Canis lupus familiaris: one gene and its partners. The protein of the gene in region 7 interacts with the protein of the main gene of each other region in a pairwise test. Links are inferred from orthologs where the notes say so. Each region holds a gene or a part of one and is shown on either strand. Other genes may lie near its edges. The genes, in order: TRIM54, TLE5, BICD2, CARD9, KATNBL1, CEP70 and MFAP1.

Region 1 (4,433 bases), on a different chromosome or scaffold from region 7:
ACAGTGGTGAGCATTCTTTTTCCTGTGCACTCTTTTTTCCTGTGCCTTGGGATTTGAGCCAATTTCAGCTGGTAGGGGCCCTGAGTCACTTGTAGTATCTCCACCAAGATCCTGATAACTGAGCAGGGTGGTTCCTATCCCAGAGCTACTCATCAGCTAACCCTCCTTTGTTGCAACACTGCACCAAGAACTTTTAGCATCAGCCTCATTCCTATAACCAGCACACCTTTCTGGGGCTGGTCTCACTTCTCCTGGTGCCCATGCACTTGATGTTGTCAGCCTCATTCTATGCCACCATGACTCAGCTCAGGCAAATTATGAATGCATTTGAGGTGTAGAGGTAGTTATCTCACCTTTGGATTCTGTCTGGACTCCACCACAGCACAACACTCCTCACCATGGGTCCTGTGGGCTGACCAAAGTTCATACATCAGTGGTTGCTTGCCTCCATCCTTTTTACCACATCTTATGCAGGCTTATCACCATATATGTTGTTCTTAAAATGGGCATGAAACATTTTATAGGGAAAAGATACTACTTTTACAGACCCTTTCCCCACTCGTGCCTCTTCATATTGCCTGTTTGGTAACCTCTCCACACCATTTATTTCCCATCCACCCAAGGTCAGAACTGAGTAACTCCTCAAACTTCTCTCTCCTGACTGGGAGAGGGACTAAGAAATGTCAGTAAATAAACGATCTTTTTTGTCCAACCCAATGCATTTGTTGGACCTCAAAAAGACGAATCATGCCTGGGATAGAGCAAAAGGCCCATGGGAGAAAAAGACAGAGGGTGGGTGCCCCTATCTGAGACCAGCCTGCTTTGGAAAGGAGGAGTCCAGAACAACTATAGAGTTGGGGCAGAGGCTTCCTGGAGCCTTGTGATTATGACTTTGTCAGTGCTCTAAAATTTCCCTGGAGACCAATTCCCCTGGTGCCCAAAATAGGTTCCTGGCACTCGGGTCCTTTCTGCTCAGCTCAACTTCTCTTGATTTCCCAACAAATTTAAAGTCCTTGGAGTTGCTCCAGTGATGTGTTCATGGACCAGATTCCCACACTTTCTCAGAGGCATGCTCATGAGGTCGTTCCAGGCCCTGGGGCAGCTGCCAGCTCTAGCGCCCTTAGCTTCTTTTCCTAGGGTGATACAAGAAAGTTCTAGGCAAGAACAAGAATGGACCGGAAGTTTTGGACCAGAGTCTTTCCCTCTAGTGTCTGATGCCCCTGTTTTGAATCACAGGGTTCAGCGGAACAGGGTGAGGATCACAGGTTGAGCCTTGGAGGTCCTGACTAGGTTTTGAGATCTCTCCTTCCACCCTGAGCCATGTATGGTTCTCATCCAGGCCATTTTAGATTCTGCATTGTTGCCCTAGAAGAAGAGCCCACACCAGAGCATGGGGGTCAGGGGCTCACCAGAGCCTACTGAGCGTGAGAGCTTGACATCTTTGCAGACCCACCTTTCACCATAAGAGTGGAGCTCACTCCTGCTCTTATGAGAGTCACCCATTCCTGAGTGAGTCAGGGTCACTCACTTGGTGACAGCTGTGGCTCGCCTTACATGAGCTAAATTGGGAGTTGGAATGTCATGCAGATGCCCCTTGTTCCCCACCCCCATGTTAAAATTAATCTCCTCTCTGGGAAGTGAGGGACAAACAGTACTGCCCATAGAGTGAACAAGAATCATTTGGGAAACAAAAGGAGAAATTTTCAGGGACAGAATCATTCAGGAAGGGAGGGACAGATAAAGCTACATGTGCCTGGCTGGGGTACAGAGCAAGGAATAAAGAGAAGTATCTGAAAACAGCTATCTGAAGACGAGGTGAATTGTTGGAGGAAGGGACAGGAGAGATAGCAGACCTATTTCAAGAGTGAGCAGTAGAAGGGACCATAAGAATCTACGGGCTGTCTAAAGTAAACGAGGAAGGGTCCAGGGGCAGTGAGGGAAGGCCAGGACTAGGGCCAAGGCCAGGGCAGGCATAATCGCTGAGGGGATGAACTTCACAGTGGGTTTCAAGCCGCTGCTAGGGGATGCACATAGCATGGACAACCTGGAGAAGCAGCTCATTTGCCCCATCTGCCTGGAGATGTTCTCCAAACCGGTGGTGATCCTGCCCTGCCAGCACAACCTGTGCCGAAAGTGTGCCAACGATGTCTTCCAGGTGGGCCAGGGATCGGGGGAGGGCAGGGCCAGGTAAAGCAGTGTAGATTTGTGGGAGACTTCTCATCAGGTCAGAGCTGAGACCAGAAGGTGATGGGGCAGAGTACTCTATGAAGTGGGTGGTGTCTGTCCTGGCGGAAGAGCAGAAGATTCGGGGTCCTAGTAGATCCCAAAGTAAGCATGAGTCAGCAACTGCTCTGCAGGCTGGCAAGGACAGCCTATGCATGCCTGGACAGCAGCTGGAAAGCTGGTATCTGCAGAAGAGAGAAGACCCCCATAGAAACTAGAAACTGGGAGGGAGGTGGTCCTACCCTAAGCTGCTTAACAATCTGTACTGGACTCTCTATTCCAGTCTAGAGTTTCAGATTTTGAGAATGATATGGAAGATTTGGAGAAAATATCAATGAGATAATGAAACATTAAAAAATAAGCCCTATGAGCACAGTCCATGATGAAAGTATTTGTATTTGAGGCCAAGCTTAACACATCCATCTTTTGGGGCAGAGTGGGAGTGGGTAGGAGATTGGGAATTCTCCCCAACTAAAGTTCACACTTGTGCCCCACTCCAGATTGGTCAATAAAGGGGCCTGCTGGTTAAAAAGCATTGTGGTCACTTAAGTAGAGAGAATGTAGAGAAATGCAACCAGCTTTGGTTTATGTGCGGTCATGGGGCAAAGCATAGCTAATCAAATTCACAGATGTCATTTTAGCTACTGGTTTCAAAAAGAAATGCAGCATATACCAGAATGGTTTATAAATGGATTTTCTATTTTGACCTCTGCCACTGGAAGAAAGATCAGAGAAAGTAAGGGGAAAAGTTGCATACACATACACACACACACACACACACCCCTTGCAAATGAAGTAAAATATCTGAATAAACCAGAGCTAGCTAGCTTAGTAGGCAGGGCAGTGTTAAGGAACATCACTAACACATATTCTTCACCTGTATCAGAATTCAGGGAGAAATGTGTTGAACGCAAATGATTTTAAAGTTAACCAAGAAAATGCTTCTTTTTTTTTTTTTTTTTTTTTTTTTTTTTTGTTCTTTGGGGCAGCATGTTTGGGAAAAAATAATGGGCTGGCTAAGTCAGGCTGTCCCATAGCTGTGCCCTGTGACCTATCCTTGGCAGTCTGCCATCTTCCTGTTGAAGCCCATTCCCATCTCCTATTCTTCTGTGTCTTAGCCTGCCGTTACATTGTTTGGCTCCAGAATATCTCAGAGCCAAGGATTTTCCCTCTCTGGGAAGGGCTGACTGCTCTGTCTGCTTATCCTGGACATCAAGTCATGTACTAGAGGCTTCGCCTTGCCCACTATTTTAGTTTTCCTCAGGCTAAGTACATTTCTGAACATCCTTCAGTCAGATGCCTAGGAGGGAATGGCAACAAGGTTTTGCCATCACTTTTCATGAATTTGTAGTGAAACATCTTTCCATTAGATCTGGAAATACATGAAAGCAAAGAGAAGTTTTGAAAGTGAAGGTAATCTGTCCTATTAAAAAAAAAAAAAGCCACCAGAGTATCAAAGTACGAAGCATATAGTATCATCGGGCAGAGGGTCCCAGGGAAAAGCTCTCTGTATGGAGGCTACAGAATGTTTAAGTGGCCTCCCTTGTTCTAGTCAGTGCTCTATATCCAGGTGCACCATTTTGGTGCCTTAAAGCTCTGAAATACTGATTGGACCCAGAGAGAACTGAGACTGGGCTGAACCCTATGCAGAATGTTTGGGAAACAACATGGTTCCCAGAACTTTGAGATGGTTCTGTGGATCTGGACTGATATGTCTCTTTTAAAGTGCAGAGCACCCCTGGGCATCCCCCACCAAGGAGAAGAGTGAACAGCTCATTTCCTTGCTCTGCTTTATTTGGGGCAGCCTGGTGGGAGGCTGACCCAGTTCTTTGGCTGCACTTATGTATATACATCTCAGTAGTTCTCCCTCTGAAAGATGAGCATATTTAGTTTTTTCACACATTGCCTCCACATTTTGACAACTGTAGGCATAATCAGATTGTCTGTTTTCTAAGTATGGGAACAAGAATAAGACTTTTGGTAACTCTATCTTAAAACCACTTAGGAAGAATACCCTGAGAACATTGCCTAGAAAGTTAATAGAACTTATAAAAGTTACAGTGTCACACACACACACACACACTTTAAAAAATAGTATAGGAGTTTATAGCATGAAAAATGACTACCTCAGGCTCTCACTTCCCTTCTCCAAATAGAGGTAGCCATTTCCAATTTTCTTGGGTACCCTCCCAGAGATTTTCCATGGATAG
Region 2 (4,528 bases), on a different chromosome or scaffold from region 7:
TCCTAAGTCTCCGTTTTGCAGACGGGGAAAACCCAAGGCCCAGAGAAGTCACAGATATCCGGAGAGGCAAGCGGCATAGTCGATAATGACAGCGATGGTGGTGGTAATTAAGAGACTGTATTTAGCACTTGCCGGGCTAACCAGGCATTAGTTCACCAACTTCTTTGGGGCCTGTTATCCACATGGCAGCAAGAGTGATCCTATCAGAATCCCAGTTGGCCGGGCCTTTGGTGGGGGGGTCGCGGCCTCCTGCCTCGAGAGCCTCCCTTGGAGTAAAACCCCCCACCGCCCCCAAGGCCCTGCACCATCTGTCATGCCGCCGGCCCCGCTACAGAATTCACATGGCCCAGTGCAGAACAAAATTGTGGGACCCCGGGGCAGCCCCTGTGGCGCAGCGGTTTAGCGCCGCCTGCAGCCCGGGGTGTGATCTTAGAGTCCCGGGATGGAGTCCGACGATGTCGGGCTCCCTGCATGGAGCCTGCTTCTCCCTCTGCCTGTGACTCTGCCTCTCTCTCTCTCTCTCTCTCTCTGAATAAATAAAAAATAAAATCTTAAAAACAAAAATTGTGGGACCCCTTGTTGGAAAACTATTAGGAATTTCCAGACCAGCGCAGCAGGCCATGAACCCGCACAGGCCCTTCAGAGCGCAGGCCTCCAGTGGGAACCAAGGTGTGAAGCTGCTGGCCCTGCCTCCCTGCGCCGTCCCCAGTGCTAGGCTGGGCCTGCCTCAGGGCCCTTGCACTTGCTACTCCTGCCTCCCCCCACCCCCCCTCCAGGGCTGTCTCTCACTTTCAGGTCCTCTGCGGTTGAGGAGGCCTCTCTGACCTTCCTCTGTTTCAAATCGCACTTTCCGGGCCCTCCCCGCTGGCTCATTTGCCCCCTAGCTGGGGGTTCGGTCTGTCTCCTGCCATCTCCACCAGGCCGGGATTTTGCACACACGCGCGCGCACACACACGCGCGCGCGCGCACACCCCGCCCCCACCCCCAGGTCCCGAGCGGGCCCGCACACAGTAGGCGCGGTGCGCGGGTGGGGGCGGCGGGGTCAGCGCGGCCTCCCCGCAGAGCAGCCGGCCCGCGGGCCAAGGTTACGGAGCGCGTCCCTGGCACGCGTCCAGGTCGCGCCATGACGGAGCCGGCGGTGTAGACGGGGGCGGCGGGCCCTCCTCGCCGCGCGGGGACACCGAGGCCCGCGGCCGGCCGCCCCCCGCCGGGAGGGGCCGCGGCGGGGCGGGGCGGGGCGCGCCGAGCCCAAGGTCACCGCGCCGGCCGGCGGGAGGCGGGCTGGGTGGGGATCCGCAGGCCTCCCCGGGCGCGCGCCCCCCTCGGCGGCGCGCACGGGGCCCGGGAAGCAGCAGCGGCGGCGGCGGCGGCGGCAGCAGGTGGAGCCGGAGCCTCCGCGAGCCGAGGCCGCGGCCAGTGCCGGCGCCGCCGCCATTAGACAATAGGAGCGGCGGCCGGGCGTGCGGGGAGGCGGGCGGCGGGGAGGGGCGGGGAGGGGCGCCGGGCGCGCAGGAAGCGGGGCCCGGGGCGCGCCGGGGCCGGGCGCGCGGGGAGGGGGCGCAGGAAGCGGGCGAGGCCGGGCGCGGGAGGCGGCGGCGGCGGCCCCGGGAGCTGCCGATCGGCGCCGGGACAAAGGCGCGGCCGCCCGGCGCCCCGAGCCGCCCGAGCCGCCCGAGCCGGGGCGCACAACCGGGGCGCAGCCCGCGCCCCCCGCCGCGACTGACATGATGTTTCCACAAAGCAGGCATTCGGTAAGCGGGGCCCGACGGCCCGGCGCCCCCCCCCACCCCGGTCGGGGCCCCGCATCCCCGCGCCCGCGCCCCCCCAGGTCCCCTGCCGGCCGCCCCCCCCCAGGTCGGGCCCCGCGCGCCTCCCCAGGTCGGCGCCTGGCACCCGGGGTCCCGGCCTGGCCGTCGCCCTCCCCGCTCCCGGCCGGGCCGCCCCCCCATCCCCAGCTCCCTGCTCGGCGCCTCCCCCGACTCCGGCGCGGGGCCCAGCGCGGCTCCCCCGCCCCCACCGCCCGGGCTCCCCGGCCCCCGCAGGTCCCGGCCGCTCCCCCCGCCCGGCCCGGATCCCCCCTAGTTCCCAGGCCCGGTCCCCTCCGGCTCCCGGCCCGGATTCCTCCTCCCCCCGGCCCCCGGGGCAGGCCCCCCCCCCCCCGCGCCCCAGCCAGGCCGGGCCTCGGGCGGCCTTGGCCTCGGGCCTGGGGCACCCCGGGAGCCCCGCCGGGCCCCGCGAGCTCCGGGGCTGGTCTGGAGGCCTGGGATGAGGGGGGATCCGAGGCGCACCCCTCCCGGAAGAACGCGGCCGGGCAGGAGGGTGCTGGGAATCTGGGGCGGACGCCCCCCCGGGTGATTTCGGGCGCCGGGAGAGGCCCCCTCCCCAAGGGGACTTTTCGGGGAGGCCGGGCACCCCCACCAACTTGGGGAGGGGGCCTCCAGGACGCCGGCCCCCCTCCCGCAGAGGCGGTTGGGGCCCTCGGATTGCACCTCCCTCCGGCGCTTCCGAGGGGCGGTAGAGGGCGCGCGCCGCCCCCCGCCGAGGGCGGACCTGCTAACGCACCCCCACAGCCTGGGGGTGGCGGGGAGCGCGGCGGCCCCGGGCGCACCCACCCCTTCGCCTTCCCCCGGGAGAGGCGGGGGCAGGAAGCGAGGGCGGGGGCCGCGCCAGGGGCTGTAAACACGGGCCCGGGAAGTGGGGCGGGGGGGGGGGGGCGCTGCAGCTGCGCCTGCCCCGGGGGTCACCCCGCCCCGCGGGGCCCTGACCCGGCCGCCCCCTCCCCGCAGGGCTCCTCTCACCTACCCCAACAACTCAAATTCACCACCTCGGACTCCTGCGACCGCATCAAAGACGAGTTTCAGCTGCTGCAGGCTCAGTACCACAGGTGAGCTGGGGGCCAGAGGCCCTGGCGGTTGGGGGGGGAGGCCCCCCAGGCCTGGGGGGGGTTACTGCTTTATACACCTATTTGAAGAAATGGAGGCCGAGAGCGTCCTGGTACGGGGTAGGCCCTGTCCTGAGCACTTTCCGGATATTAAACTCGTAGACTTCAAGACAACCCATTTCACTGGTAAGAAGCCTGAGGCACAGAAAGTTAAATTATTTGTCCAGACACTGGGGCTGTGTGGCTTCAGAGGGCCTCTCCCCACCCCCACCCCAATCCCCCCGCGTGGATAAAAGACCTCCCAAGGAGCCTGGTGGAGGATGGACCCCCCACCCCGGAAAGAAAACATTCCGCAGCCTGTCCTGTCTCTTCTCTGCTTAGTTTTGGGGAATGAGTTCCCGGCTCCCAACAAGACTCTCCAAGGAGGCTCTTCCCCCAGAATTTAACGTTCTGGCGCCGTAAAGGGCTTGCGCAGTGCAGCATGGAGGGGTTGGACCGGTGCTGTCTTTGTCTCATGCTTTAAGAACGTCAAGCCCAGAGAGGGCAGAGATTTCCTGAGGATGCACAGCACTGAGACCAGGCCGAGATGTGCCCGTAATCTCTGGGTTGGGGAACGCAGATTCTCAAGGCTGTTGGGGGGCGGGGGGCTTTGCCTGGGAATCGGGCCGGAGTCCTCGGTCACGGTCGCAGACCCCAGCGGCTCTCTAGGCCTGTTGGCCTGCGCAGACAGGTTCCAAGACAGATTCTGGGTTTTAAGAAAGAAAAACAGCGAGATCCAGATCTGTAGATAGATTTTTAAAAAAAATCTCACCTTTCAAGGCGACTTTCCTCACTCCCCATGTGCTAGATGCTGAACCGATGTCCTCTTGTAGCATTTCCCCGCTGTGGGCCTCTTAACTGTGCCCATTTCTCAGACAAGGAAACTGAGGCACTGGCAGTTGAAGGCAGGCCCCAGGAACTTTGTTTGTGGTCCCTGATGTGAAGCATTTAGGGCCTGGGCTGGGCAGGCCTGGGTTCTCGGAGCCCCTCCAGAGCGCCCCCACTTCGTAGTGAGCCCTGGGGCCTGACAACCCCAGAGCCGGGGGTCAGAGGGCCGTCACAGGGCTGTGTGTCCTCAGCTAAACCCGACACCCTCTCTGAACCTTGGGGTCTGCACCCGGTGGACCTGGGTTTCTCTCTGGACTGTGAGGGGTCCTCCCATGGGGTGGGTACACACAGGAGTTGCCAGACCCTCAAACAGGGCCAGAAATTCAGAGTTTGGCGTGAAATTGCCTGATTGTTTTTTTTTCCCCCCAATGGTATCCACAAATAGCGTTTTTTAAGGAAAGGGGGAGAAAAAACACGTGGGGCCCATAGCCACATGCACAGTGGCAGACCCGTCGTAAGCACTTTGGTGAAGCGAAGATGCCAGGCCCCTGGGATGACTGACCAGAAGGTCAAGCATGTATCAGGTGCTTCCTGTATACCAGGCGCTGTTCTAGAAGCTTCTCTGGTCTTCATCCACTTCCTTTTCTCAGCACCCCCACCCTGGGAGGTCAGTCCCTACAGATGCAGAGACAAGGCCCAGAGAGGTAGAGGGGTTTGCCTAGAGCCACACAGCAGCGAGGTGGCGGGCCTGAACCCTGAAGCCACCGCATGTAGCTGGGG
Region 3 (3,748 bases), on a different chromosome or scaffold from region 7:
GCCCCCAGGACAGGGAGCCTCTGGGGAAGCCAGGAATATCCTACAACTTGAGGAACAGCAGCCTCTGACCAGATTCCAGCCCCACCTCACCCACAGCCTCAAGGGCCCTTCTGGACCACGAGGGCCCGTGCCTGCCCGACACCAGCCAGCAGGGGGGCATCGTGCCCCTCAGCGCAAACACCTGAACCCAGGCCCCCGGGCAGGCCTGCCCTGACTTCCTGGCACAGGCACCTGGGCTGCCGCGTCCACAGCTGGCTGCCCTCCCCAGCTCAATCCCAGCTGGCAGCTCACACCCCAGGGTCCACTGCTGTCAGGCAGGGAACCTTCCTGGGGAATCTGTAGACTTCTGCCGGGTTCTGAGGGTGGACTCCGCCCTCACGCTGCCAGCCCACCTTGGGCCGTGGGCTCTCAGCCTCCTCCTGTTGCATGCAAAGTGCAGGCGACACTGCAGACAACAACCCTGGGGGCTTCCACCTGGGGCCAGAGCCGTGGGCATTACCTGGTGGCAAACATGGCTCGCAGGGAGGAGAAGGTGGCCGCATCTTCCTTCAGGGCCTTCAGCTCGTTACGCAGTTTCATCATGGTCTCGGTCACCATGGCCTTCTCGTTCTCGTACTTGCTCTTCAGATTGGCCAGAGCCACCTCCGCTGTCTGGGGGTCAGACACACAAAGGGCAGGGGGTTGAGACACATGGGGAGGGGCCCTCCGTCTCCTCGAGCTGCTGTCCGAGGCCCAGGGAGGGACAAGACCCGCCCGCCCAGCTGCACACCTGCTTGTTCGCCTTGAGCACCGTGCGCAGCGTGGTGATCTGCTCCCGCTTGGTGCTCAGCAGTGACTTCAGCTTGAGGATCTCCTCCATGAGTGCCTCCCGGTCCTTGTCTGCAGCAGGGCCCAGCTCCTGGGAGGCCAGGCGCTGCCGCGACAGCTCCGTGGTGCGGTCCACGGCCGCCTGCAGATGCCTGATCTGGTCGCGGATGATGGCGATCAGGTTATAGATGTTCATGGGCTCCCGGCGTGGGTCACTCAGAGGGGAGGGCAGAGAGGGGCTGGGCGAGGGGCTGCTGTCCCCCGCCCCACCTTCCGTGGCTGGCGGCCCTTTGGGTAGGACGGGTGAGCGGCGCCCACGGGCTTCAGGGCTGCAGTGGCCAGCGCCAGCCGGGCCCTCTCGGTAGTAGTCCAGCACGACGCGAGTGGGAGTCTCGTTGTTGCACATGCACACATGGTGGTACAGGTTGGCCAGCTCTTCACTGAAGGTCACCAGCTCGTCCTGGGCCACGCTCAGGCTGCCCTGTGTCTCACCCGCAACGTCACTCACCTTCTTCAGCTCTGCCTGCAGCCGGGCCAGCAGCTCGCGATCCTGGCGGCTGGCCTTCTCTAGCAGGGAGACCTTCTCAGTGAGCGCCTGGCTCTCAGCCTCGTGGCGGCCCTTCTCCTCAGCATGCCGGGCCTCACCGGCCTCATGCTCACCACGCAGGGCTTTCAGCTGCTCGCGGAGCTCACCTGCCTCTGCCAGGGCCACACGATACTTGCAAGCCAAAATCTCAGGCCCATTGATGTCCACCTCATAGTAGTCCCCGTCCTCATGGCTGTCACGCTCCTTCTCGCTGTCCAGGGCTGTCCGCCGCTCCTTGCTGGCCTGCAAGCGCCGCAGGGCGGTAAGGTTCTCTGTGAGGCGGCTCACTTCCTCGCGCTGCTCCGAAAGGGCCCCCCGCGCCTGCTCCAGCTGCTTCTGTGTGTCCTGCAGTGATGCCAGCAGGCCCACCTTCTCCCGCTCCATCTGCAAGAGCACAAGAGCCCCATCATCAGCCCACCGGAGCCCAGAAAGACCCAGTGGTGACCCCGCCGGCACCACAGCTATCCCCCTGCAGGTCTGTGCTGTGTGTAATGAGGGTGCCATGTGTGGGGCCTCGATGGGCCCCTCCTTGGAGATGTGTGGTAAATGGGGGTGGGCCATGCTACAGATCCCAGAACTCTGTTCTATACAGGGCGGGAAACTCTGACATGACATGTCCAGAGGACGCAGCTGCAGGAGATCGCCTGTGAGCCCTATGAGGCAGCAGGAGGGAACCTGCAGAAACCCAGGCTGTACCTCCCCTCAGCTCTGCAGCTCCACTGATGCTAGCAGTGTAGACTCCATAATAAATACTAGCAAGAGGGGAATGGGGCACCATGAGAGCAGAGCTGGAGCAGGGAATGTGCACAGCCGCCTCAAGGCCCTGTGGCTGGGACGACCCTGGCCACCCGCACCTGCATCAGCTGCTGCTTCAGCTTCTGGATCTCAGAGATGTTGAGCTCGCTGAGGAGGTCAGACACCAGGCTGGGGGAGGGCGGGGCGAGACCGTCCTTGGAGGGCGTGGAGGTCCGGTTGTCCAGCGGCAGCTTGGCCAGGCTGGCATGTTCGAAGCCGTTGGCCAGGGCCTCTGTGTCGTCACCGAGCTTGAGGCCATCCAGGGAGACATGCAGGTGGCTGGTGTAGAGAGAGTCGTTGATGCTCATGTAGTGTGACAGCTCCTTGCGGAGGCTGAGCTTCTGCTCCCGCTCCGTCTTTAGGGTCTCCAGCGCCTCCTCCAGCTGCCGCTCCGAGATCTCCTTGAGCCTGATGGCATCCTCCAGCTGGCTGTTGAGGTACTCAGTCTCCTCCTCCAGACGCTTGATCTCGTGCTTGAGGCCCTCAAACTCCACCTGGGGAAAGAGCGACAGCGTCTTGTGCCTGCACAAAGGGGAGGCAACAACAGGGCTCAGAGCGCCACTGTCAGCAGAGCCAGGATGCTCCTCAGAGCCACAGATGCCACGGAAACCAGAACGCATGTCTCTGCTGCAAATGCTGCAGATGTCAGGCTACTTACAATGTTACTAACTGCGTCCTGACTGTAGATTCCACAAAGTTACTTAGTGAACATTAATTGTTAATTGAATATTTTAACAAATATAAAACATGTACCACGACCATCACTTGTATTCCGGAATCCAGAGGGACCCCGACCCGGAGGCTCCCCAGGGGAAGCGGAGGTGGGGAAAGAATCCAGAGCTGCATGTATCTGGAGGTGGATGAGGGGGTAAGTGCGGACAGACACCAGTGCCTGCAGTGGGGACTTGGGAGTCTATGGGAAATTTAAAAAAAACATTTCTTATTCCAAAAAAACAAAAACATTTCTTATTCTGTCATATTGGTGCAAGAAATAAGGAACAGACCACTTATATGTGGGCCCGAGAGGACCTTAGGGACTCACAACTTGGGGCAGGGGGAGGCCCGGGGAGGGGCCAGCCTCCACCACCTGCCACCAGGGCCTAGTCCAGCATCACGGCAAGTCTGTTGTGTGGCCCGAAGCAGGCGCTCTGTGCCTGGTGTCATGCTGCCGACATAAACACCCGGGCCATGCCCCCCACACAGATGGAAACGTCCAGGGAGGTTAGGGGATCCTGGGGACATAGGTGGCAGGTGTGGCCCTGGGATACCACCTGGATGTCCCATCAGCAGTGGCAGTGACCTTCCTTACCCCGCTGTCAAAGAAGCCTTCTCTCATCCCACCTATTGCCGGGGTGTCCGAGCCCTGACACGTCCCTGCTGGTCCTCACTGCCCATCGGCACCTCCTGGTCAGGACCTCAGACAAGGGGCTGGCAGACCACGGACAGTGGGAGGGACGGGTCCAGGGCTCCAGGGGTCATGGGTGCATCCTGCTACTGCTGCGGACAGATGGAGCTGGACAGCCTGCCCCTGGGCTCCGGTGTCCCCTCTGCTTCACCTCT
Region 4 (4,209 bases), on a different chromosome or scaffold from region 7:
TGAGCACCTGCTCCTCATCATCGGGGTTCAGCACCTTGCATTGCCTCAGGTAGGGCGTGATGCGCGAGGGGTCGATGACGGAGATGAGCTTCACTCGGAAGCTCTCCAGGGTACTCCAGCACTGGTCTTCGTTCTCATAGTCTGACATGGTGGCGGCCACCGCTGCGATTGGTGGGAGAGCAGCTGGCAGGGACAGTTGCATGCTGGGCCCAGGGGAGTCCAGGACAGGTAGGTGTGAAGCCTCACCCGCCCTGGCCCTCCCTCCTCTGCGCTGGTGCTCTGACCGGGGCACCAGCTCAGCCAGGGCAGCCCTCCCGGCCTTCTCTAGACCCTGCAGCCACTCCCTCAGCAGGTGACCTAGGCTTTCTCTGTCCAAGTCACCCTGATAAGTGTGAGGGAAGATGTGGAGGCGCTTCAGGGACTGGCGGCATCTGAGAATACCCCCCCCCCCACTGTGGCCTTGTTCTGGCCTCTGCACCCCCATCCCTAAAGCGTGAGTCTGGCAGACCACCACCTCGTACCCACTGGCAGGGCCTCCCTGGCAGGTACAGGGAGGTAGGCGCCCAGGCTGGGGAGGCACGCCTGGGGCATTGACCTGCCCACGTACACGCCAGCCTGTGCTGCTGTAGGACTTCCTCCTTCTTGGACATGGCTCCTGCTCAGGGCCTAGCCCCACCGCCTCCTCTCTTTCCGGCGGCTGGCTGGTGGTGCAACAGTGGCCCAGGCACCGGCTGGCTCAGGAAGGGCAGCTGTGGACCGCTGCACCAGGAGGGGCCCAGCTGCATTGGCATGGCCAGCACCCACGCCGCTCCTGTGCCCTCTGCAGACTCCTAGGGACCAGGCACCAGCCACCTCTGGGCTCCTCTCCCTGTTCCTGGGCACGCAGGGTGCCAGCTCCCTGACCAGGGCCATCCGTGTTGGGACTACCCACTGCTGCTCCCTTCCACTGGCGGGCACAGACCACGCTCGAGGCCTGGGCCAAACCAGGAGCCTCCTCCCAGTGGTGGGGACAGAGACCCTGACTTGCCACCTCAGACTGCCCTCAGCCAGCGTAGGAACTGTGGGCGGAGGTTTGCCACCCAGAGGAGCTAGGCCATACTCCCAGAGACAGACGGCAGCAGGCAGGGCCTCTGGAGGAGCTTCCTGAACTTCCTGCAGCCCTTGGCCACACCATCCAGCCAGAGAGACACCAGCAACTCAGTGGATGGCCCTTGGAACGTTCAGCCCGCTTCCTGCCTTTCCCACCTACATCCACAGGTCCCACACCTGACCCCTGCCTCTAATTCCACCGAGCTGAACAAGCAGGTCTCAGGTGGCTGTGAAGGACAGGGCAGGAGTGGAGGCCCTGGGTGCTCTTCTGGGGTATGTGCCCCAGGAGCCCTGAGCAGAGAGATGGGTGTCTTCCTGGCCACCCTGAGAGGGCAGCCAACCAGCCTACCTCAGGGTCCTCGAGAGGCACCTGTGCAGTGGACACTGGTCAGCCCAGGCTGGCCTGATCCGATGAACAGGAGGTGCTGCTGGCAGCCCAGTGGAGCTCAGGAGGAAAAGCTGTGCACTTCCTGATGGTGCTGCTCAGCTCCACAGAGCCGGGAAGGTCCTCCCAGAGGGAGTGGGTCCTTGGGCCTGCCTTCTGATTCGCCCGCCTGGCAGGGCCCAAGAGGCGGGGCAGAGGGAAGTGGAAGTCCTGCTCAGAGGCCTGGAGGCCCACCCCTGGCATCCACTAAGTGGAAGTGTGAGCAAGGACCCTCCCCGGAGCTGGATGAGGCCAATGCACTGTCTAGTCCGCTCTGGCCTGAACGCAGGCTTCTGGAGGCTTCTCCACCAGGGGCTGGCTGGGAACCTGCAGCGTGGGCCCTCTGCAAAGTGCAGGAGATCCCAGGGCTTCAGGCCTAACTCTGGGATTTCAGCCAGATGCCCACACACACAGTAGGCCAGCCGGGCCTTGATCACATGAGGGCTGGTGTAGCGTCCAGAAGGCATGTGGCTGGAGACCCCACTGTGGCCTGTCCGTGCTTGCCCCACATGGCCACCGGCCCCTGCTACACTGCACACCCTATCCCTTCCTGGGAGTGTCTCCACTTAGCAACCTCTTTACTAGGACACTCGGGACTGTGACAGCAGGCTCCCAGGCCACTCATCATGGCCCCGCAAACCAGTTTCAGAAGGGCTGTTTCTGCCATCAGAGCTGCACCCAATAGCCAGGATAGCAGGCCTCCAGACCAGGGTCTGCCAGGAAACCCCCAGGCCAAGGCCTCACTGGCGCAGCTGGGCCGGTTGGTCCAAGTTGTTGGCTGCCAGGCTGAGGCAATTGCTAGGGAAAGGCCAGGATGGTCCTGAGCAGGGCTCCCAGCCCCACCTTCCCATGGCAGCTGCCTCTTGCCTGACAGGCTCCCCGCCTGTAGGCTCTCGGACCTCTGACCCTGGGTGGATGGAGGCTGCCATCGCGCTTCCAGAACAGCCAGTCCTGGGCCCTCCAGGAGCTATGACCAGCAGTGTTTCCCTGCTCTGCAAAAGCAAATTAATAAAGGGTGTCTCCCCCACGGGGGTGTTGGTAAGAATTCAATGACAGAAATGTTCTGTTCTCTGTATCAAAAGCCAGAAATCAATAACAAAAGGCTAACTGGAGAATCCCTAAACGTTTGAAAATAAAATAAGAGACCTCTAACTAGCCATAGGTCTAAAGGAGCCCCCAAGGAAAGCAGAAACGAGCTGAAAAAGCCCCAGGTGCAAACTGAAAAGCTAAGAGCTTGTGCATGAGGCTGCACGGTGGTGGGTCAGCCCCCTGGTGGGTGGGTACAGCACCCCAGGGCATGCTCACACCTGGAGAGCACAGGCATGAAGCCTCTAGAACCAAGCACCTCAAAAGGCTGCACACCAAAGCCAAGGCTGTGCACCGCGTCCCTCAGAGCACCAAGGGTGCTGGGGCTTGGCCTCCCACCAAGAAGCAGCTGCTCAGGAGGAAGGCAATGCCGGCCTGGGGCCGCTGCGTGACTTGTGGGCAGGCGGGCAGCCGCTGGTTCCAGATGCCTGCCTGGGTCGGCGGTGTGGTCAGGAAGGCAGTGAGGCAGGTCCACCCCATTCCCTGTGGCCCCACCAAGGCAGCAGCTGCCTGGTAGCTCTTGGCAGGCCCTGGGGCTTGAGCCACAAGCGTGTTCTGTGCAAAGGGCACTCCCCACGTCCTACACGGTGGCCCGGAGCTCAGGGGGTTCCTCAGACCTCAGGGCCCAGCCATCCGGGTCCTGGCACGGTCAGGGGAGCCCCAACCCTCTGCCCAGTCTCTTAAGGCAACAAGAATCTGGGGCTTGCCTTTTAATAAAAAAATAAGCCATTCACTTTATTCCTTCAAACATTCCTTCCGATTTGTGCTGGAGGACTAGCCAAGCCCCAGTGGCTTCACGGTCACACGGCGAAGCCTCCCCCAGCCTCCAACTGCTTTAGGCTGCTTCCTCCGGGAGGGTTGGAGCTGGGCTCCACAGGCAGGTGGGCTCACTGGGGTCCAGCATGGCTCCCGCCTCCTGGAACACAGAGATGCCCAGATGGTGGGGACACCCTGACCCCAGCCAGACCCCAGAGATGGTGCTGTAGGATAGGAACCAAAGGTGGCATTAGGCCTCCTCCGAGGGCGCAGAACCGGGTCTGGCTGCCCACCTGCAGTCCATGCAGGGGGCCATGCTGAGGGCAGGCCCTAGAGCCTGGGTGGGCTTCTGATGCCCCCACCCCCACCCCCAGCATCCCCTCTGTGGACCCTCTCAGGGCGCAGCCCCACTACACTCGCAGGAGCTGGCTCCCACCTCTGTAGACCAGACATCTTCCCCCACATGGGATCTCTGCACCATGAACTCAACTAATCCGTACTGAGGGCCTACTTGATGCCTGCTCTCTGGGCACTGAGGACCCGGCAGCAAAAACCAAATCATATCACCGCCCTTAAGGGCTCACGTTTATGGCAGACACGCATGTAAACCATGTCGGGTGTAGAAGAGACAGTGCTAGCAAGACAGACATTGACAGTGGTACTGCCCCAAGAGAACAGGCAGAGAGAGCATCTCTGAACAGCCAAACACTGAGCAGACATGATTGGGATAAGGGAACAAGCCTTACAGACATGGACGAAGGCCAGGCAGAGGGGACAGCAGTGCAAAGGCCCCGAGGCACACGTGGGTCAGCAAGAAGGAAGCACCAGAGCCTGGAGTGTGCAACCCAGTGGGC
Region 5 (3,748 bases), about 9.6 Mb from region 7:
CAATCTTCAAAAAGTCATTATGATAGGTCTTTGTGATTTCTAGTAATAAGTCCTGTCTTCTTTTTTTTTTTAAGTCCTGTCTTCTTTTTGACACAGTATAAATTATATTCTTAAACAAGATTGCATTAAGACCCAGTAGTTCTTTTTTTTTTTTTTTAAGACCCAGTAGTTCTTAAACAATGTTACCAAATAATCATATAAATCCCAAATGCAGCAAAGGTGAACCATCCTCATAGTGCACTTTCACCTCACTGAAGTTGAAGCTGCTCCTTTTGGATATTTTCCCACTTCAATGTGAAGTAGATTGTTAGGTTTTCATTAGTGGTTTCATATGCGGCTTTTTAAAGAAAAAAAAAAGTTTTTATTTCTTCCACAGTTCACAGTTCTCAGATGAAAATTCTTTTTGGAAAGCTCAGTCTAGGGATGTTTTGAATAATCAAATGCTCTTTAATAGACGGATTCTCTCAATGCAACTGTAATAAATAAGCGTCTACATCCTTAGAAAACAAAACAAAAACATTTCATTAGCTGGTACGGCAAATACACAGATGCACACCCCATTTTCCTCTCCCTTTTTGTCACTTGACTTGCTTTTGCTTTCTTTTGTGACCTTCTGAGGGTAAAAAATGTGTCTTACTGAATTAAGCTGTATTTTGTTTAGCCAGGGTCTGGCTAAAAGCATACAGCACATTCTCAATAAATGTTTAAGTGTTGAGTGAATGCTTTGGTTCCTGTGATCAAACAACTCTGCTTTTATAGTGAAGCAAGATCATGAAATCACTTCCAGCAATTCCTGCAGTGTTATATAAACTCTAGGCCAGCTTGATGACACAGCCTTTCTGATTTCTACCCTGGAAAAATTAACAATTGAGGGTTTAATACTGTAAAAGAGGTTTTTATCCCAGTTAAAGGAACTTCACAGAACTTGTAATCATTCACTATTCTATTCAATAATAAATATAGTATCTTAAGGTCATAGTCACAATAAAGCTTCTCTGGATAAAAAATTGCAATTGAAAACAAATTTCTAAGGAAACAATATTTTTTCAGTACTAACAAGAATGCAAGGTGCCTCCAGAATGAGGTGATATATGATGCATGCTCTATATCCATTTTCTATCAAATTTTACTTTCTTTTCCCTCCCATTATTGAAAGAACAAATTAAAACAACAAAGCACTGGGAAATTGATTTTATGACATTTTCATTAAGAATTCTACAAAGTAAAATTACACACACTTATAACACACTTGATACATCATTTTGCTTCTTTTCTTGAAGGTATACAAGTAGAATATCGCAACTAAGCCCATAACATAATTATCTCTTACTTAGAATACTGTGTTTTTAAACTAAAGAATGCTTGTATATTTGTAATTAATGCCCATTTATGCCCAGTAAACAGGTGCAAATATTTCTTAACAGTGATTTTTTTCCCCCTGAAATTATATTTCAACTACCAATGTTTTCTGGAGTTTAAATATTAAAATCCAAATTAGCAATGTGCATTTTCCTTTAAGAGATAAAAAAATAAAGACTAATGTCAAATTTGTACTGTGATTTGAACATTTACTTTCCCAAAAGCATGACATTAGCAAAAGCCAAGTAAGAATTAATACCCTGAAACCACTTGATCAGGTTCCTCATCCCCTTGCTTCCTGAGTGTCCCTATCTTTTCAAATGTCTTCCTAACCTGGGTTCTTAACCTTTTCTCTAATGGAACTAGTTCATTAAATTCCCTCTAGCACATCATTTCCACAGCTATATCTGAAACATATTCAATGGCTAATTCCTGTGTTTCTTGCAAAAGTCATATTCATACCCAGAGGACCTTAAGCATTTGTAAATATGAAACTGACTTTAGGCCTTATTAGAATAATACTATATTGGATATTTGAAAGACTTCCTTTATGGATGCATAATACCAACATATTATTTCTAATATTTAATTAAGCTTAAATAGAGATTTTAAGCTTAACTTTTTAAGCTTAAATATAGATTACCTTGGCTATATTACCAGTGTATCCTGGAACCAAAGTAAGATGGTTTTCCTGTTCCCATAATCCACTTAATTGTTGTTTTAAAATCTGAATATTTCTATGAGAAAATAAGAAAAAAATGCAAATATAAGAATATGAACATAGTAAATACACTTAATGAACAGTTTTTAAAATTTCAAGTATTTATCAGGAGAATTGTACCACTTGAAATCAAGGAGCTATTTATTTATTTATTTATTTATTTTCAAGGAGCTCTTTAAAATAATATTTGCAAATCATGGAAATGATTTAAATGATTTACTTATTTTTTTTTTTTTTAATTTATTTGTGATAGTCACAGAGAGAGAGAGAGAATGAGGCAGAGACACAGGCAGAGGGAGAAGCAGGCTCCATGCACCGGGAGCCCGACCTGGGATTCGATCCCGGGTCTCCAGGATCGCGCCCTGGGCCAAAGGCAGGCGCCAAACCGCTGCGCCACCCAGGGATCCCTTACTTATTTGTTAAAGCAGGAAAGAAAACCAGGCATTTGGAGCATTTGGGCAACCTGGTCTTGGGTTGAAGTGGGAAATTTTTGAGAGCCTAGAGAGAAAATCTTTAAGAAGATTGTTGGGAGGGACACCTGGGAGGTTCAGTGGTTGAGCGTCTGCCTTCAACCCAGGGCATGAACCCCAGGGTCCTGTGATTGAGTCCTACATCAGGCTCCCAGCAGGAAGCCTGCTTTTCCCTCTGCCTGTGTCTCTGCATCTCTCATGAATAAATAAATAAAATCTTTAAAAAAAAAAAAAAAAAGAAGATTGTTGGGAGATAATTTTTTGCAGCTTCATGAATCTGGCTCATTTGGTAGAATGCCCATACATTTTTACATCAAGGCGATACTCAAATTATGATGATTATAATACAGTTTTTAGAATTACAATCATCCACATTTGATTCTCAGGTTAATGTCTAGGTAGTCAAAAGACTTATAGGTTGCAGGATGCTTCTATCCCTGTGCCTCAATACTTAGTCCACCAGAAGCCATCTCTTTTTTTCTCCTTTACTCATTGTAACAGATATGAGGGTTAAACAACTACTGTGCTTTTTCCCTCCTAAAATGAAGTGTAAGGTTCTGTCAGAAAAAGAGAGGGGATTACTGGGCTTTGGAATTCAACTTCCATGTATAATTTTCACATGTGAACACTATTCCAATTTAATATTTCTCTGAAGATAAAGAAAATCAGTTATTATTTAATGATGATAATGGAATAGAATTATTACCTAGTTTATTTTTATTTTTTAAAGATTTTATTTACTTATTCATGATAGACAGAGAGAGAGAGGCAGAGACACAGGCAGAGGGAGAAGCAAGCTCCATGCCGGGAGCCCGACGTGGGACTCGATCCCGGGACTCCAGGATAGAGCCCTGGGCCAAAGGCAGGGGCTAAACCGCTGAGCCACCCAGGGATCCACTTATTACCTAGTTTAATCAAATGGCTTTTCTTTTTTTTTTTCAAAGATTTTATTTATTTATTCATGAGAGACACAGAGAGAGAGAGGGAGGGAGAGAGAGAGATGCAGAGAGAGAGGCAGAGGCACAGGCAGAGGGAGAAGCAGGCTCCACGCAGGGAGCCTGACATGGGACTTGATCCCAGGCTGAAGGTGGCGCTAAACCACTGACCTACCCGGGCTGCCCTCAAATGGCTTTCTGAAAAAAATTTTATTAGATTGAGTTTCTCTTTAAAGATATACTCACCCATCATTTATAATTTC
Region 6 (3,748 bases), on a different chromosome or scaffold from region 7:
GGTGTCACAATTTGAATTGGGACTGTTAAATCTATTGCCTTGTCCACTCAGACTCTATTTTTTTCATAAAGGTTTTTTGGTGACCTAAAAGTACTAGAAAGGAAAAACAGTATGCTTTGTTTATTCATTCAAAAAGTTTTTTTTTTTTTCCATCCTCATTATGCCCTATACTCTTCTAGGCAGTGAGATGCAATGGTGAACAAAATACAATTCTGGTCTACATGGATCTTATGTTCTAATTAAGGTGGTAGTGAACAAATATGTACTGTAATATTGGGTAGTTGTATCTTCTAATACCATTCTCTCTGAGAACAAATAGGAAATTTGGCTTAAATTTTAATTCATGTTTAGGTTCTCAGACACTTCAGGGTTGACTTTTGTTAGCTATATTTTTTCCTTTGAAGATAGATTTTTTGTAAGAAGTACACATCGTGTATCTTTTCATAGGCAATATAAAGAAGATGAAAGTCAGTCAGAAGAAGAAAAAGACTATAGAAGTTTGGATGCCTCACCGACTTATAAAGGCCTTCTAATGGTATGGGGACTACATGGCTAATAATTACGTTTTTATAAAGTAAAATAATAATCTAGGAAAATTAACTATTTTTCTATGAAATGTGTTGAAGTCATTACAGAATCAACTCAGGGAATCGCAATGCAAAATTGATGCACTTTTAAGTGAGAAGCTGAATCTCCAAAAAGATTTGGAAACCAGGTGAGAGAAACTTGACTCATTTTTATTTAGTTTTTGGAAAGTAAACACAAATTGGAATTTGGGATGTTAAATGAATCTTTCTAGCTCCTTTACTGTAAAACTAATCTTGGAAACTTCATATTTTTTTTACACTCATTTTAGTTAGTTGTATCTCATATGATGGAAGGAACAAGATCACATGTAGGTAGGAAAGGGAAGTGAGAATAAAGGAGCCCACATTGAAAGAGATAAAGCTGGGTAGGAGCACAGAATATATTCAGATTTATATCAGCAGGTTTCCCATTCCCAAATTTCTTTAGAATGTTTTCTATCTTAGTCCCTGTGTTGTGAAAGAAGAAAACTAAAAAGTTTAAATGGTATACAAGGTATATTTATGCATAGCATGCCACCACAAAAGGATGATGCTCTGTGTCTTGTCAGGGAATAATAAAGAATGAACATTGTTAAGATTTTTTTCATTTAAGAAGTGTTTGTTGAATACCTCTTATAAGTTAGACACTGTCCTAAGCTGTGGTGTAATATAATGACCAAATAATAACTTGTTTCATAAAGATTATATTTTAATGGAGAAGGAATTAATAACTAAAGTAGAAACCATTTATATAAAGTTTAGAAAAACCTACCACATGATGATATGTAAATTTATGGTTATATAAATATGTAGTAAAAATTTTTAAACATGCATGAGAATAATGAATAGTGAATTTGGGATAGTGGTTACCTAATGAGGGACACACATGGAGTTTTAAGTATGTGTATAATGTTTTAGTTGAAAAAAAAATGAAAACAAATCTGTTAATATTTAACTTTGGTGAGGCTGAGTAGTGGGTACACCATTATTTATTTTACTGTTCTCTCTTCTTGTCTGTACATTTGAAATATTTCTCCATAAAAGCAAATAATAGATTAACAAGAAAAATGGGTAAAAAGTTCTGAACCAAGAATACATGGAAGGAGACATTCATTGGCCAATAAACACCTCACTGACAGTCATGAAATATTTTAAGTTTTTTAATAAGCATATTTGTGACAAGTAATATGGCATACCTTATTTATTAAATATCTTTATAGTTTTACTCAATAAAATGCAATTCAATGTGATTTATTTTCTGCAGGCCCACACAGCATGAATTAAGACTTTATAAACAACAGGTGAAGAAACTGGAGAAAGCCCTTAAGAAAAACATCAAGTAATTCTATTTTACCAAAGTTACAGATTTGTTATGGTTTTATATTTTTATTTTTATTACCTTTAAATTTACTTTATACTTACCTCATGGTGGCTTTGGCTTGAAATTACCAGAGTGATGATGGGGGAAAATGTCGTAAAAGGGTATTTTTGGTTCCACAGTTTGTTTGTTTTTTTTTTGAAAAGATTTTATTTATTTATTCATGAGAAACACAGAGAGAATGAGAGGGAGAGAGGCAGAGACACAGGCAGAGGGAGAAGCAGGCTCCACGCAGGGTGCCCGATGTGGGACTCAATCCCGGGACTCCAGGATCACGCCCCGAGCCAAAGGCAGGCACTAAACCACTGAGCCACCCAGGGATCCCTGGTTCCACAGTTTTAATACAGTTTCTACTGTGTTGGATTTGGCTATGTATTTATCTTAAGAACAAAAGACAGGGATCCCTGGGTGGCTCAGCGGTTTGGCGCCTGCCTTTGGCCCAGGGCGCGATCCTGGAGACCCGGGATCGAATCCTACGTCAGGCTCCCGGTGCATGGAGCCTGCTTCTCCCTCTGCCTGTGTCTCTGCCTCTCTCTCTCTCTCTCTGTGACTATCATAAAAAAAAAAAAAAAAGAGAACAAAAGACAGCATTTGCCTGATATAATAAGGGCAAATATTGTAACTAGAAAATTGTCTTTGGAAGCCATAGTGGAATTGTAAGTGAATCATTGAAATTATACATGATGAGCTCTCAATTTTTGTTGGTGCCAGTAATGGCCTGAATAATACACAGCCTCATCACACTTTAAAAGTACTTAGAATGAATGCAGTGAGTGAGCCATTCACATCCATCACTTATTTGTACTTTTCTTAACTTTGAAAAGCACAGTCTCAGAGGAGTTTGAAAAGTTAGTCCTGAATAGTAGTAGGATTTTCTGAAGATAATCTAGGTGTACTTTTTCATTCAAGGGAATGGGACTTGAGGAGGTAGTGCGGGGAGCATTGGGAGGAAATATTTTGAAAACTATATGAGCTAATATATGCATTAGATGTATTAAATCAGTTGTATTAGCATAAGTTGATTCAGTTTTCAGTGATAACCGTGTTTCTTCCTTCCTGTGGCAACACATGCCATAGTGAAGGCAAATATTCTGGAGATCCAAGGATTAATGTACTGAGTTAATTAAGATAGTACAGAAGAAAAACTAAAAAAGAGAAGAGAAATGGAAGTTTCGGAAAGACTGCATTCTTTAGCTCACTTAATATTTTCCCCTTCCTACTACTCCTTAGTATTTTTGGCACATTTAGTACTTCTGCTATGTGCTTGGCATTCTAGGTACTGGAATTGCAGTAATAAGCCAAATAGAAAGGATCCTTGCCCTCATGGAGATTACATGAGGAGATAAGGACAATGAAGAAAAAGACCATTTTGATGTAATATAATTACTAAATGTAAAATAGTCTGTTGTGTGAATTTGGACAAGAGGCGGTGGTGACATGGTCATGGGGCAATAACAGCAGAGGTGAGAGTGTTTGGAATATTGGAAGGTAGAACTGTTAGGACTGGGTGATGGATTGGATATAGGCATCTCACAGGGCGGGGAGGGGAATCAAGACTCCTTTAAGTTTCAGGCCTAAATAACTATATAGTTATTGGTATCTCAATAAGATAGGAAAATTGGTTGAGAAGCAACTGGAAAAAGGATGATGGAGGGAGGTAAAAAGAGGAGAAGGTGTAGATAGACATTACATTTGATTATATGTAAGTCTTCATAAGGAAATGAAGGTCTGAAGAAATAGTTAAGCCTGAGCTGCCTAATACTAGGTTTAATGAAGAATGGAAAGTTGTAGAAAAACATGATAG
Region 7 (3,748 bases):
GGTCAACCTTGGTCAAACCAAGGTTGACCTTGGTTTTCATGTGAAGAACAAAATCTTGATGGTATTACACATACTGGCTAGATAATAAACTTTTTCTTTTCTTTTTTTTTTTTTGGTTAGTCACTTTGTCAGCTCAGATTGAAGGGAATTAAATTTCAACCTCCCAAATATTTGCATAAGCAAAATTCCTCACTCAGCTATGAATAGTGATTATCTAATTAATTTTGGGGATTTAAGTAGTCTATATCTATATACATAGATCACTATTTTAGTTCCTCAATTCTTCTATTACACACCATTTCCTCCTGATATCTGGGCCTGAATGGAGAACAGTGGCTGCTACTTCTAAAATCGTGTTGTCAATGCTTTTTTCTATTGGATTTATATTCTTTAGAGGCAAAAATAAATGAGAACACTGACCATTGGCAAGTAGAAGTAACATCCCAGGACAGTTTATTCTTGGGGGGAGAAAAGAACTCAAAAGTTCCAAATTATTTCTATAGCCCAAACTTCCCATTCCCTTTTGACTCCTTACCATGAAGAAGGCACCCCGGTGATAATACTTCTGTAAGAACTTATATTTGCCCTTAACAGCTTTGTTGGTAATGACTTTGCCATTTGCCCGAAGCTCAGCTCGCCTCTCTTCCTCAGTCAGGTTTCGCATTCGTTCAATTTCTGCCTTCTCCTTCTCAAGCCTGTGTGGAGAACAAAACTATTAGTATTATTCCAGTTTCAGAGAGACTCAATTATCTGAACTTAATGCAGTCTCATCTTTCAAGCATTATTCACCTTCCTTAATTCTAGTCATTGCCTATTAGGAGTTAAGATTAGGAGCCCAACAAATAAAAAGGTGAAATGGTCTTATTGTAAACTTCCAATAGTCTTTATAAGGTTCGGACATAATATTACTACTTGACTTTGCAATGTTAGTAATTTCCCTTCCCTAAAAAGCCTACTTGGCTTTAAAAAAACCCAGAATTTAACATAACTGTGTTAAGATTTAATTGGCATTTTTTTAAGTAATTGTGTATGTACATACATGACAAACCAAGGGTTACCATCATTAATTAGATTGCAGTGACTAACCCTTTTTGGGGGGAGGGGAGCCATATATCCCTTGTCTCCAGAAAAATACAAATAGACATAACTTTGTATATGATTTTAAAGGGTACATGCACTCCTTGAAACCCAGGATAAAAATCTTAGAAACTGCAGGCTGAGGACAGAGTTTTCTATTCATGGTTTCCTTTTGTAATCTGGGATTACCCTCTCATTCCTAGTAATTTTTAAGAATGAGTGATGCAGCTCAGAAATGATTCTGATCTAACAATACTGACTGTGGTAGAGTATTTAAAGGCCACAAATTCTTCCCCTCACAATATGCATGCCCCTTTGCAGAAATGACATATAAGCCTCAAAAGACCTTGGCAGTTTCCACTTTTGTCCTCTTCGAATACTGCCATGAGGCTGTTTTATAAGGAAGCCGATCTAGCCCACTGAAGAAGTGAGGCAGGTTAGCATTAACTATTGGACATGTGAATGAAACCGTTTTGGACACTCTAGCCCAGTTAATTCTCCAGCTGGATCCAAGTGCATTAAGAGAGCCCAGGTGAAACCAGCAGAGGAACTGCTTAGCGAACTCCAAAACTGTGAGGAATAATCAACAGTTTCAAGTCACCAAATTTTGGGTTGGGTTTTTATGCAAGATTGGATAATTAATAACAGTGAATAACTTGTGTGTGCCTACTAGGAAACTACAGGAAGTATTCACTGGCACTCTATCAAGAGAAACACTGACAGAGTGTTTCTTTTCACTAATTTTATTAGAATAAGCCACATTACAATTATGAGAAACTCACTCAGTTGCAGGAACCCTAAAGAAAGCTAGAATGGAACTAACTCATGGTAGGTATTGAGCCTCAGAGTTACCCTAGTAGTAACCTGTCCCATTATTGATATTAAACTACAGGCCCATCTTATTACTTACGCTTCTCGATCTTCTCGGTCTCTCTTGATTCTCTTTAGCTCCCGAACTTTCCATGCCTCATATTCTTCCTCATCATTTTCATCATCAGTATTGAGAGCATCCAGTGCAGCCAAGGACCGCTTGTTCTCCTCCAGCTCTTTTTTGGTCTCCTCTTCTACAATCTGGGTAAAGAGAACATTTAACTGTTGGATCTCCTTATTTTCCTGACAAACCTAAGTATACTCCTCCTTGCATGCAATCCTTACAGCCACTCCCCAGTACCTTGAGTGTGTACTTGCGCCTCTCCTCAGCCATGCGTTTTGCTTCCTGCTCCAGCTCCTTCTGTTTTAATGCTTCAGCCTCCCGTTCTTGAACTGTTACTCGGTCCTTCCTGCAACAGAGAAGTCCTGTTAATTGCCCAAAGTCCTCAGAGTGGACCTCTTTGTCTCTAGCTTAAGTCCCATCCAAATGAGACAAAGCCCAATAATCGCTGGCTCTATTATTTGCAAACAGCCAAAGTTGGGAGTCATCCTAGGTATTTAAAGCATTAAAATTCCATTCATCTTTGATAACTGCCTGAATAGCAAGAACCTTCTGGATTATAAATTGTAAGATTTCTTGCCATTAGAAAAGGACCAGGAATTCACTTTTCAAGTTTAATTTTGTGCCTTACAGGACTGTGGGGAGATTATATGCTCTTTAAAAAGGGAGTTATGAGCACGTAACTCAGGTTCTCTGTTAATACCAAGATATTCCTCAGCAAATATTCTGCATAGATAGGGAACTGGGCAGAAGACTTTCACTTACAGCTGACATTTCAGAAAAGCCTGAGAGAGGAAAAAAAGGCTTCCATCTTCAGACATGGAAAGTAGTAACTATGTGGAATCAGGCCTGGTTTATGACATACTTACTTTCGAATGAAGACAGGTTTTAGGCGAGGCTCCATCTCATCTTCACTGTCTGTGTACTCTTCATACTCAGATTCTGATTCTGACTCCTCCCCAGAACGTCCCTCATCTTCCACCTCCATGACTTCCATCTCTTCATTTTTTCTCTCCTGTGCTCGCTGACGCATCATGCCACGGCGCCTCTCTATTTCCTGTCAAGTCATATGTCCAAGTCAGTCAGCCCAATGACCTGTGCTCTAAGGCAGCTTTTTATTTTCCCCTCAGCACATTTAATAAATTCTGTTATAACTAAATACAACTTAGCATCATTTTATTTTTAATTCTATCTCCAACAAACGGGGAACCACTGGATCAGGGTTCTGCCAAAGTATCAAATTTGTGCCTTTGGAAACTCAACAAAGGAGAACAGGCCCCAATTTTTCTCGGACCCAGAAAGAACTTCTCATTTTCCCTTTTTATACCTCATCATCAATTTCTTCCTCTTCTTCTTCACTGCTATCCTCTCGTTCCATGCGCCATGCATCTCCTTCTACTTCTGAGTCACTTTCACCTACCACTTCAGGTTCTACTATTTTCCGATGTCGAGCCAATCTGAAAAACAGCATCTTCAAGTATAACACCAATGTCACAAAAGTGAAAGAGCATTACCCACATTTCCTTAGTCTTAGAGCACCTGGAGGTTGTTTGCCTTTATTAATAGTGAAGTCTTGAGAGAGGGAAACTGAGGGACAGAAAAACGAAAATAATTCATGGGGCACTTGGGTGGCTCAGTGGTTGATTGTCTGCTTTTGATTCAGCTTATGATCTCAGGGTCCTGGGATCGAGTCCTGCAACAGGCTCCCCACAGAGCCTGCTTCTCCCTCTGCCTATGTCT

What was found.
Region 1: the proteins of MFAP1 (region 7) and TRIM54 interact in binary tests that used the Homo sapiens proteins (3 or more experiments, as listed by UniProt). The two-hybrid records come from large-scale screens. The link is inferred for Canis lupus familiaris from reciprocal best matches to the Homo sapiens genes MFAP1 and TRIM54.
Region 2: the proteins of MFAP1 (region 7) and TLE5 interact in binary tests that used the Homo sapiens proteins (3 or more experiments, as listed by UniProt). The two-hybrid records come from large-scale screens. The link is inferred for Canis lupus familiaris from reciprocal best matches to the Homo sapiens genes MFAP1 and TLE5.
Region 3: the proteins of MFAP1 (region 7) and BICD2 interact in binary tests that used the Homo sapiens proteins (3 or more experiments, as listed by UniProt). The link is inferred for Canis lupus familiaris from reciprocal best matches to the Homo sapiens genes MFAP1 and BICD2.
Region 4: the proteins of MFAP1 (region 7) and CARD9 interact in binary tests that used the Homo sapiens proteins (3 or more experiments, as listed by UniProt). The two-hybrid records come from large-scale screens. The link is inferred for Canis lupus familiaris from reciprocal best matches to the Homo sapiens genes MFAP1 and CARD9.
Region 5: the proteins of MFAP1 (region 7) and KATNBL1 interact in binary tests that used the Homo sapiens proteins (3 or more experiments, as listed by UniProt). The link is inferred for Canis lupus familiaris from reciprocal best matches to the Homo sapiens genes MFAP1 and KATNBL1.
Region 6: the proteins of MFAP1 (region 7) and CEP70 interact in binary tests that used the Homo sapiens proteins (3 or more experiments, as listed by UniProt). The two-hybrid records come from large-scale screens. The link is inferred for Canis lupus familiaris from reciprocal best matches to the Homo sapiens genes MFAP1 and CEP70.

Annotation. Positions count from the first base shown.
Region 1 is NC_049238.1:21,321,736-21,326,168, forward strand, and holds the start of TRIM54 (tripartite motif-containing protein 54), read left to right. Parts: upstream 1-1,623; 5' UTR 1,624-1,987; coding exon 1,988-2,155; intron 2,156-4,433. UniProt on the Homo sapiens protein: May bind and stabilize microtubules during myotubes formation.
Region 2 is NC_049241.1:56,586,016-56,590,543, forward strand, and holds the start of TLE5 (TLE family member 5), read left to right. Parts: upstream 1-1,630; 5' UTR 1,631-1,724; coding exon 1,725-1,751; intron 1,752-2,489; exon of another isoform or gene 2,490-2,585; intron 2,586-2,786; coding exon 2,787-2,884; intron 2,885-4,528. UniProt on the Homo sapiens protein: Transcriptional corepressor. Acts as a dominant repressor towards other family members. Inhibits NF-kappa-B-regulated gene expression. May be required for the initiation and maintenance of the differentiated state.
Region 3 is NC_049222.1:99,449,214-99,452,961, reverse strand, and holds part of BICD2 (protein bicaudal D homolog 2), read right to left. Parts: intron 2,683-3,748; coding exon 2,248-2,682; intron 1,778-2,247; coding exon 770-1,777; intron 652-769; coding exon 500-651; intron 1-499. UniProt on the Homo sapiens protein: Acts as an adapter protein linking the dynein motor complex to various cargos and converts dynein from a non-processive to a highly processive motor in the presence of dynactin.
Region 4 is NC_049230.1:49,108,859-49,113,067, reverse strand, and holds the start of CARD9 (caspase recruitment domain-containing protein 9), read right to left. Parts: upstream 2,899-4,209; 5' UTR 1,439-2,898; intron 204-1,438; 5' UTR 203-203; coding exon 1-202. UniProt on the Homo sapiens protein: Adapter protein that plays a key role in innate immune response against fungi by forming signaling complexes downstream of C-type lectin receptors.
Region 5 is NC_049251.1:1,191,657-1,195,404, reverse strand, and holds part of KATNBL1 (KATNB1-like protein 1), read right to left. Parts: coding exon 3,732-3,748; intron 2,097-3,731; coding exon 2,003-2,096; intron 498-2,002; coding exon 465-497; 3' UTR 1-464.
Region 6 is NC_049244.1:35,272,641-35,276,388, reverse strand, and holds part of CEP70 (centrosomal protein of 70 kDa), read left to right. Parts: intron 1-447; coding exon 448-535; intron 536-626; coding exon 627-715; intron 716-1,830; coding exon 1,831-1,905; intron 1,906-3,748.
Region 7 is NC_049251.1:10,836,781-10,840,528, forward strand, and holds part of MFAP1 (microfibrillar-associated protein 1), read right to left. Parts: intron 3,466-3,748; coding exon 3,336-3,465; intron 3,066-3,335; coding exon 2,878-3,065; intron 2,358-2,877; coding exon 2,249-2,357; intron 2,149-2,248; coding exon 1,988-2,148; intron 696-1,987; coding exon 536-695; intron 1-535. UniProt on the Homo sapiens protein: Involved in pre-mRNA splicing as a component of the spliceosome.